2 linked regions of the Oryctolagus cuniculus genome follow. The protein of the gene in region 1 interacts with the protein of each later gene in a biochemical or structural test. Links are inferred from orthologs where the notes say so. Each region holds a gene or a part of one and is shown in the gene's direction. Other genes may lie near its edges.

Region 1 (4,679 bases):
AGCTTTACCTGCTACACTACAACACTAACCCCGAGAAAGTGATTTTTAGCAAAGTTTTATTGAAGTAAACAAACAGCTTTCACAGCCACGTGCCCGTGAGAGGGACCTTCTGAAACAGAAAGGCCTTACTGAAAAGAGGAGAGAGAAGACTCCTGGACAGCAACCATGAGGGGTTTTCTCAGTAAGAAAAAATCCAATGAAGGGAAATGATCTGGGGGTTTTATATCCTCTGGAAAGTTTGTATGGGGCCCTTTAAGAAAAGTGTACGGGGCTGGCTCTGTGACATAACAGGTTAAAGCCAAAGCCTGCAGTGGTGGCATCCCATACGGGCACCAGTTCGAGTCCTGGCTGCTCACTTCTTTTTTTTTTTTTTTTTTTTTTTTTTTGACAGGCAGAGTGGACAGTGAGAGAGAGAGAGACAGAGAGAAAGGTCTTCCTTTGCCGTTGGTTCACCCTCCAATGGCCGCCGCGGCCAGCGCGCTGCAGCCGGCGCACCGTGCTGATCCGATGGCAGGAGCCAGGAGCCGGGTGCTTTTCCTGGTCTCCCATGGGGTGCAGGGCCCAAGCACCTGGGCCATCCTCCACTGCACTCCCTGGCCACAGCAGAGAGCTGGCCTGGAAGAGGGGCAACCGGGACAGAATCCGGCGCCCCGACCGGGACTAGAACCCGGTGTGCCGGCGCCGCTAGGCGGAGGATTAGCCTAGTGAGCCGCGGCGCCGGCCGGCTGCTCACTTCTGATCCAGCTCTCTGCTATGGCCTGGGAAAGCAGTAGAAGATGGCCCAAGGCCTAGGACCTCTGCACCCGTGTGGGAGACCTGGAAGAAGATCCTGGCTCCTGGCTCCGGATCAGCTCAGCTCTGGCCATTGTCAAATTTGTGGAGTGAACCATTGGAATCAAAGGCCTCCTTCCAACCCCATCTCTCTGTAACTCTTTCAAATAAATAAAATAATTATTTAAAAAAAAAAAAAAAAGAAAGAAAAGTGTTCATCTTGCTTTGAGCCCATCTTGCCTTCTTACCTATCATTCCTTCCAAAAGGGCACTCTCTGGTTCCAAATGTCTCCATCTCCAATTTTCTCGTTTGTTAACTAAAGGTCCTAAGCTTTCATCCTTTTTTTTTTTTTTGGACAGGCAGAGTGGACAGTGAGAGAGAGAGAAAGAGAAAGGTCTTCCTTTGCCGTTGGTTCACCCTCCAATGACCACCGCGGCCGGCGCACCGCGCTGATCCGATGGCAGGAGCCAGGTACCCATCCTGGTCTCCCATGGGGTGCAGGGCCCAAGGACTTGGGCCATCCTCCACTGCACTCCCTGGCCACAGCAGAGAGCTGGCCTGGAAGAGGGACAACTGGGACAGAATCTGGCGCCCCGACTGGGACTAGAACCCGGTGTGCCGGCGCTGCAAGGTGGAGGATTAGCCTAGTGAGCCATGGCGCCGGCCATGCTGTATAGTATTCTATAGAGTACATATCCCGTAATTTCTTTATCCAATCTACTGGCTCAGCCAGCTTTCATCCTTTATCTGTAGTCTATTTATTTTTTTAAAGATTTATTAATTTGAAAGGCAGAATAACAGATAGACAGATCTTCCATCCACTGTTCACTCTGCAATGGCCAGGGCTGGGCTGGGCCAAAGTCAGGAGCTTCCATGGGTCTCTAGCATAGATAGGTGCATTAGCAGGGAGCTGGATCAGAAGTGGAGAATTCAGGACTCAAACTGGCGCCAATATGGGATGCCGCTCTTGCATGCATTGGCTCAATCCATTACACCACAACACTAGCCCCAAGATTTTTGCTTTTTAAGTTATGTATTTAGTTTTTGTGTTGCTTAGTAACTAGCGGTACTCTCATCGTGTAGCCCCCTATAGCTGTCTATCGAAGTCTAACCTAACCTAGCTTGCTTTTTCCTACCTATATGTAGCTTTAGAGAGTATCCAGCATCCCTATAATAATTCAGTTAGGTTTATATTTTATCGATAAATTAAGCATTCAGGAGAGTGAGTTGTAGAAGGTGGTTATTCTCATAGCTTACAAGCATTTTGAACTTTACCTTGCCTATTCTTACATATTTTCTTCATGATTATAATGTGGGGTTATTATAATACACACATCCCAGTGTAGAAGGAATCATTTGTTATATAGGCAACTTACAAGAGGCAGTTAACTTTATAGAGCATTTACTATAAATGATCAAATCCTTACCAAATGTTTTGCTGAATCTTAAGGCAAGAGAGGTGATGCTGACAAGAACCAAACTATTAAGATAACTGCCAAAGTGGGAACTCTAAAAAGGAAGCAACAAATGAGGGAATTTCTGGAACAGTTGCCAAAAGATGACCATGATGATTTTTTCAGCACTACAACACCTTTACAGAATCGAAGAGTACTGGTAAGGATCTTAAACATCACTCTTTTCTTTATATTGACTTTACCTTAATTTTTTTTAATTGGTGGTTATTGTTAAGGGCATTGAGTGAGAGCCTACACAGATCTACGACCAAAGCGTGATATAGTGAGCAGTCTGCTGGTATGTGTTATTCTCACAGTTTGAGAAGCTGAAGCCTGGAGCTTTGAGCTCTATTCCAGTCTCCTACTCAGGTAGCAGGGGCCCAGGTATTTTGGGCTTTTCCTCCACTGCTGTCCCAAGCACATGAGCAGGGAGCTGGATCAGAAGCAGGGTAGCTAGGACTTGAGTGGGATGCTGGCATCCCAAATAGAGGCTTAATCCGCTGCACCACAATGCTAGCCCCTACACAACCTTTAGAAAAGGAGTTATAGTTTCTGTTTACATAAGAGAAATCAAGCTTTTTTAGAGAAAAATCCTCTGTCATCAACCTAGAAATAATTGAGGCCACCAGAAAACATTTTGTGATCATGAGAAAATCCATATTTTGAGTGCCTGTTGATAACAAATGTTTGTTTTCTAGTTGCCAAGTTTCCAATACAGTCAAGATGATGATGATATTCTGCCAAATATGGACAGAAATCCAACAACTCCATCATCAGTTATCTTTCCATTGGCAAAAACTCCTCAATGTCAGCATGTCAGTCCTGGCATGTTAGCTTCCATAAATAGGTAAACATTTATGCATTGGTATGTTAATTCTTTTCCATCAGCACACTGCAGAAAATGTAAACATTTTATGAGTTCAGGGGCAAAGATGTGATTAATGGGAAGAATGGTCATTATAAAAACAATCAAGAATGAATAATTCCTAGATATTAAGGACAATCAGTAATTCAGTAATATTTCAGTAGTATTCAACAAATAGCTCATATTTACATCAGAATAAATTCCATATGGGTGAATGTTGTACATGTAAAAAAATTAAACTTAAAAAATGCCTGTCAAAAAAATTCCTAAAGAAAATGTAGAGAATTATAACCTCAGCTTAGTGAAGGTCTTTTTTTTGTTTGTTTGTGATAAAAAAGGTTATTTAATGATTTAAGATATTAGACTTCTCTCAAATTTCTTTCTTCTACTTGTGAAAAGCTTTTTTTAAGAAAACTTTTTTTTTTTTTTTGGACAGGCAGAGTGGACAGTGAGAGAGAGAGAGAGAGAGAAAGGTCTTCCTTTTGCCGTTGGTTCACCCTCCAATGGCCGTCACGGCTGGCGCGTTGCGGCCGGCGCACCACGCTGATCCAAAGGCAGGAGCCAGGTGCTTCTCCTGGTCTCCCATGTGGGTGCAGGGCCCAAGCACTTGGGCCATCCTCCACTGCCTTCCCGGGCCACAGCAGAGAGCTGGCCTGGAGAGCGGCAACCGGGAAAGAATTTGGCACCCCGACCTGGACTAGAACCCAGTGTGCCGGCGCCGCTAGGTGGAGGATTAGCCTATTGAGCCGCGGCGCCGGCCAGAAAACTTTTATTTAATAAATATAAACCTCCCTCCCACTCGCAAACCATCCCATCTCCTACTCCCTCTCCCATCCCATTCTTCACCAAGACTCATTCTTAATTATTTTTATATACAGAAGATCAACTTAGTATATACTAAAGATTTCAACAGATTGCAGCCACACAGACACAGAAAATATAAAGTATTGTTTGAATATTAGTTTTACCGTTAATTTGCATAGTACAGTACATTAGGGAAGGAGATCCTGCATAGGGAGTAAGTACACAATGACTTTTGTTGATTTAACAACTGACACTCTTATTTATGACGTCAGTAATCACCCGAGGCTCTTGTCATGAGCTGCCAAGGCTTATAGAAGCCTCTTGAGTTCACAAACTCCGACCTTATTTAGACAAGGCCATAATCAAAGTGGACGTTCTCTCCTCCCTTCAGAGAAAGATACCTCGTGAAGGTCTTTTTTTTTTTTTTTTTTTTTTTATTGACAGGCAGAGTTAGACAGTGAGAGAGAGAGAAAGGTCTTCCTTTTTTCGTTGGTTCACCCCCGCCAAGTGGCTGCTGCGGCTGGCGCACTGCGCTGATGCAAAGCCAGGAGCCAGGTGCTTCCTCCTGGTCTCCCATGAGGGTGCAGGGCCCAAGCACTTGGGCCATCCTCCATTGCCTTCCCGGGCCACAGTAGAGAGCTGGACTTGGAAGAGGAGCAACCGGGACAGAATCCAGCGCCCCAACCAGGACTAGAACCTGGGGTGCCGGCGCTGCAGGCGGAGGATTAGCCTAGTGAGCCACGGCGCTGGCCTGAAGGTCTTTAACCATGATGTAAAACCCAGA
Region 2 (4,679 bases), on another chromosome or scaffold:
AGTCGTGGGGCCAGTGTTATAGTGCAGGGGATTAAGCAGTAGCCTTGGTGCTGATCCCATATCAGAGTGCCAGTGGGGTTGGTGTCTCGGCAGCTCTACTCTGATCCAGCTCCCTACTGATGCATCTCGGAAAGCAGTAGATGATGCGCCAAGTACAAGGGCCTGGCACCCGCGTGGGAGACCTGGAAGAAGCTCCCCACTCCTGGCTTCAGATCGGTGCAGCTCCAGCCATTGTGGCCAGTTGGGGAGAGAACCATCGGATGGAAGACCTCTCTCTCTCTCTCTCTCTCTCTCTCTCTCTGTAACACTGACTTTCAAATAAATAAATAAATCTTTAAAAAAAAAAAGAAAAAAAGGCCCCTGCCATGCATGTGGGAGAGCAGAACAGAGTTCTAGCTCCTGGCATCAGCCTGGCCCAGAGCTGGTTGTTGCGGACATCTGGGGAGTGAACCAACCAATGGACGATCGTACCCATCCCCCATCCCCATCACTCTGCCTTTCAAGTAAAATTTTTTTTTAAGTCTGAGAAGAAAAATCTCCACTTATTAATTTGCTGTGTTAGGTCTAAAATTTTACTGTGGATTACTCACGTAGTGGCAAATTGAATGAGCCAAGTCAGCAAGGCTTTTTGGAAACGGTGATTCTGAGGCAGATTAAGGAAGACAGGTTGACAGGAAGGGAGTATATTCAGATGTTGCAAGCCAGGCTGAGGAGAGTCCAGGATGAAGGAACAAGTAAGTGGAGAGGCGGCGGGTCATGAAGTACGTGTGAGTGACCTGTGTGGGGCGTGCCTGGGGTTGCTGGGAGAGTGCTGGTGGTGAGTAGATCCTTTAACAGGCAGCTCTAACACACAGATCACAGGCACACATCCGAGACTTTTTAAAAACCCCTTAACGAGGGAGCTGGAAGCTGGTTCAGGGTCGGCAGATCGAGTTATGGCCCCTCAGCCTTTGGGGCTTGCTTTGCTACTCACAGGGATGGTTTGTGTCCCTGCCAGACTAAACTCACTTACGGTGCATTGGTGGGCTTTCTTCAGGCTGTCATTTAACTTTAGAGGCTTTTTCTAAACTGGGCTGTGTTAGCTTTCTGCCAATGCGGGGGCAGGCAGAGGCCCTGGGCTGGATGCCTCTCTGTGAACCCAGGTGATTGAGTTCTGCAGTGTCTGTAAGCTGTTTTCGTGCCGTGACGGCAGAGGCCAGTAGTAAGGATTAGTTATTCTCTGCGTCATTACACAGGAGTTGCCTCTCCCTGCCGTTGTTGGGCTCCTTGGACAATGGCATTAAAAGGACGCATAGAATCTTTTTGTCTTATTTCCCAATTTTCTTTATAATCAAAGAGTTTACATTCTTTATTTTTCTTAAGATTTATTTATTGAAAGATAGCATTACGGAAAGAGGGAGAGAGAGCTTCCATACGCTGGTTCACTCCCCAATGGCCACAGCAGCCACGGCTAATTCAGGCTGAAGCCAGGACCTGGAACTCCATCCGGGTCTCCCATGTGAGTAGCAGGAGCCCAAGCATTTGGACCATTTTCTGCCACTTTCACAAGCATGTTAGCAGGGAGCTGGATTGGAAGTGGAGCAGCTGGGACTTGAACCTGCCTCATATGGGATGCTGACATCTCAAGCGACAGCTTAACCTGCTGGGGCACAGCCCTGGCCGCAGAGTTTGCGCCGTAACACATGCACTTGATGGTCTCCTCCTCTTGTTGCCGTGTGCATGTTCCTGCCGTCAGATGTGGATGGCAGTGTGGCTGTCCTTGCATTTCTATTATAAATGTCTTACTCTCATCTTTTTCCTTCCTTATATGAATACATGTAACTAAACATGGTCAGAATGACAAACCCTGGAAACCTGAGTGTTGAAGCGTTTGTGGGTGCCAGCAGTGGGTGTTCTGTAGCAAGTTGCTGCTTTGCTTCCTAAAGCGGTGCTATGTCTTTACGCAGCGTCCTCGAGACCCTGTACTGCGTCGGCTGCTCCCTCAACCTCGGCTACATATACAGATGCACCCCCAAGAGCCTTGATTACAAGAGGGACTTGTTTTGCCTCAGTGTTGAAGCCATTGAAAGGTAAGTTTGATATTTAAGTGACCGCTGGGTAACTGACCTCTCAGAAAGTTAAGTTTGCAGAGAAATTGCTATGAAGACGTCAGAGCTAAACCACGCTTAAACGACATTTCCAGGTAGTACTTTCTGACATTAAAGCCAGTTAATTTCTCTCTCTGTCTCTCTGTTTTTCTCTTTGCTTTGCTCTAATTTTTTGATATTGGAAAAATCAGCACTCCTAAATTGTGGCTTTTTTTTGGAGTAAAAATATGTTCTTTTTTGTTTGTTTGTTTTTTGACAGAGTGGACAGTGAGAGAGAGACAGAGAGAAAGGTCTTCCTTTGCCGTTGGTTCACCCTCCAATGGCCGCCGCGGCCGGCGCACCGCGCTGATCCGATGGCAGGAGCCAGGTGCTTCTCCTGGTCTCCCATGGGGTGCAGGGCCCAAGTACTTGGGCCATCCTCCACTGCACTCCCTGGCCACAGCAGAGAGCTGGCCTGGAAGAGGAGCAACCGGGACAGAATCCGGCGCCCCGACCGGGACTAGAACCCGGTTTTGTGCCGGCGCTGCAAGGCGGAGGATTAGCCTAGTGAGCCGCGGCGCTGGCCTGTGTTCATTTGTTTTTAAAAATGGAATGAACTTGAGAAGGATTCTTTTTAAGTATTTTCTGGGGCTATGTCTCAGTGGTTAAGTTGCTGCTTGGGATGTCCCCAACCCATAGGACAGGGCCTGCTTTAATTCTGATGCAGCTTCTTGCTGATGTAAACCCGGGAGGCAGTAGATGCTGGCTCAGGTACTTGGGTGGGTCCCTATTACCCATGTGGGAGACACAGACTGACTTCCAAGCTCCTGGCTTCGGCCTGGGCCAGCCCTGTGTGTTGCAGGCATTTGGGGAGTGAACAGTGGATGGAAGGTTCCTGTCTTTCTCTGCCTTTCAAATAAAATGAGAGTAATTTTTCTAAAAAGCGATATTGTGTTACAGAAGAAAATACGTGGGAGGTTTTACTGCAGGAGATCATGGTTGTCAAGGCTGTTTTTCCTGAACAGTTGATTTTAGGAGACAGGCTACTTCTTGGGCAGAATTTTTTTTAAAAAAATAAGTTTGTGTGTGTGTGTATTTTTTAGATTTATTTATTTGAAAGGCAAAGCCACAGAGAGAAGCAAAGCTACAGAGGGAGAGAGTGAGGAGAGAGAGATATTCCATCTGCTGGTTCTCTGCCCGAATGGCTGCAAGGGCCAGGGCAGGACAAGGCCAAAGCCAGGAGCCAGGAGCCCCATCTGGGTCTCCCACATGGATGCAGGAGCCTAAGGACTTGGCCATCTTCTGCTGCTTTTCCAGGTGCATTAGAGAGAGCTGGATCGCAAGTGGAACGTTAGGGACTAGCACCAGCACCCAAGTGGGATGCTGGATTTGTAGGTGGTAGCTTAACCGGTTATGCCACAGCACTGGCCCCTTGGGGTGGAATTGTAATGCCAGGGCTGCCCTCTGTGCCATTTATTTACAGTTTTATCAGTTGCTCGGTGCCATGTCATTTTCCCACCGCATCTTTGGTTTTCTAAGTAGGATGTCGGTTGCCTTCTGCAGTTTGCCTACCACGCTATTTTCCTCTGCCTTGCCAGGCATATTGGCAGAAAGCTGGAGCAGAGACAGAGCTGCGGGGACTCCCGCCAGCACTCCGCTGTGGGATGCCGGGAGCTGGCGCCACAGCCCTGGCCCCTCGAGTTTTCTTTGAGAGATGCTGGCATCTCCGTCCTTACTGTTTAGATGTAGCTGGTTGCCAGCCCAGAGCTGGTTTCCCTCCATTGCCAGCTGATTCTTCTGCTACTTCCTACTTTCCTAAACCATCGCATCTTGTAACAATGAGAGGCAAACACAGTGTAAGTTGGAGAATAACTGTTACAGTTGCTGACATTTGGTTAATCAAGTATTGACCACCACAATTTATTACTTAAAGTCTCATTTAGGAGCAGGTGTTTATCCTACTGGTTAAGGCAGCTGTGTTCCACATTGAAGTCCCTGGGTTTATTTTATTTTATTATTATATTTTACTTTAAGATTTATTTTATTTATTTGAAAGTCAGAGAGAGAGAGAGAGAGAGGTAGAGCCAGAGCCAGAGAGAGAGAGAGGTCTTCCATCTACTGGTTTCCTCCCCAAATGACCACAGTGGAGCTGAGCTGATCAGGATCCAGGAGCCTCCTCAGGGTCTCCCATGTGGGTGCAGGGACTTGGGCCATCTTCTACTGCATTCCCAGGCCATAGCAAAGAGCTGGATTGGAAGTAGAGCAGCCAGGACTCGAACTGGTGCCCATATGGGATGCCGGCACTGCTGGCCAGGGCTTTCACCGCTGTGCCACAGCGCCGGCCCCAAAGTCCCTGGGTTTAATTCTGAGCTCCTGATTCCAGCTTCTGGCTAACGCACACCCTGGGAGGCAGCACATAGTTGGCCCAAGTAGTTGGGTCCATGCCACCCACGTGAGAGAACTGGATCGAGTTTCCAGCTCTGGCCATTGCGGGCACTGGGGAGTGAGACAACAGACGGGAGGTCGTGCTCTTGCTCTCTCCCCTGCCCCTCTTAAGTAAAAAATTGGAAAAAAGGTCAAATTGGAAGTGGCACATGTTTCTGACGTTAGATA

Evidence for each region. The genes of interacting proteins can lie anywhere in the genome.
Region 2: the proteins of MIS18BP1 (region 1) and MIS18A form a complex in vitro, tested with the Homo sapiens proteins (2 studies listed by BioGRID). The link is inferred for Oryctolagus cuniculus from reciprocal best matches to the Homo sapiens genes MIS18BP1 and MIS18A.

Annotation. Positions count from the first base shown.
Region 1 is NC_091443.1:30,730,993-30,735,671, forward strand, and holds part of MIS18BP1 (mis18-binding protein 1), read left to right. Parts: intron 1-2,222; coding exon 2,223-2,386; intron 2,387-2,924; coding exon 2,925-3,073; intron 3,074-4,679. UniProt on the Homo sapiens protein: Required for recruitment of CENPA to centromeres and normal chromosome segregation during mitosis.
Region 2 is NC_091435.1:12,608,198-12,612,876, forward strand, and holds part of MIS18A (protein Mis18-alpha), read left to right. Parts: intron 1-1,946; coding exon 1,947-2,069; intron 2,070-4,679. UniProt on the Homo sapiens protein: Required for recruitment of CENPA to centromeres and normal chromosome segregation during mitosis.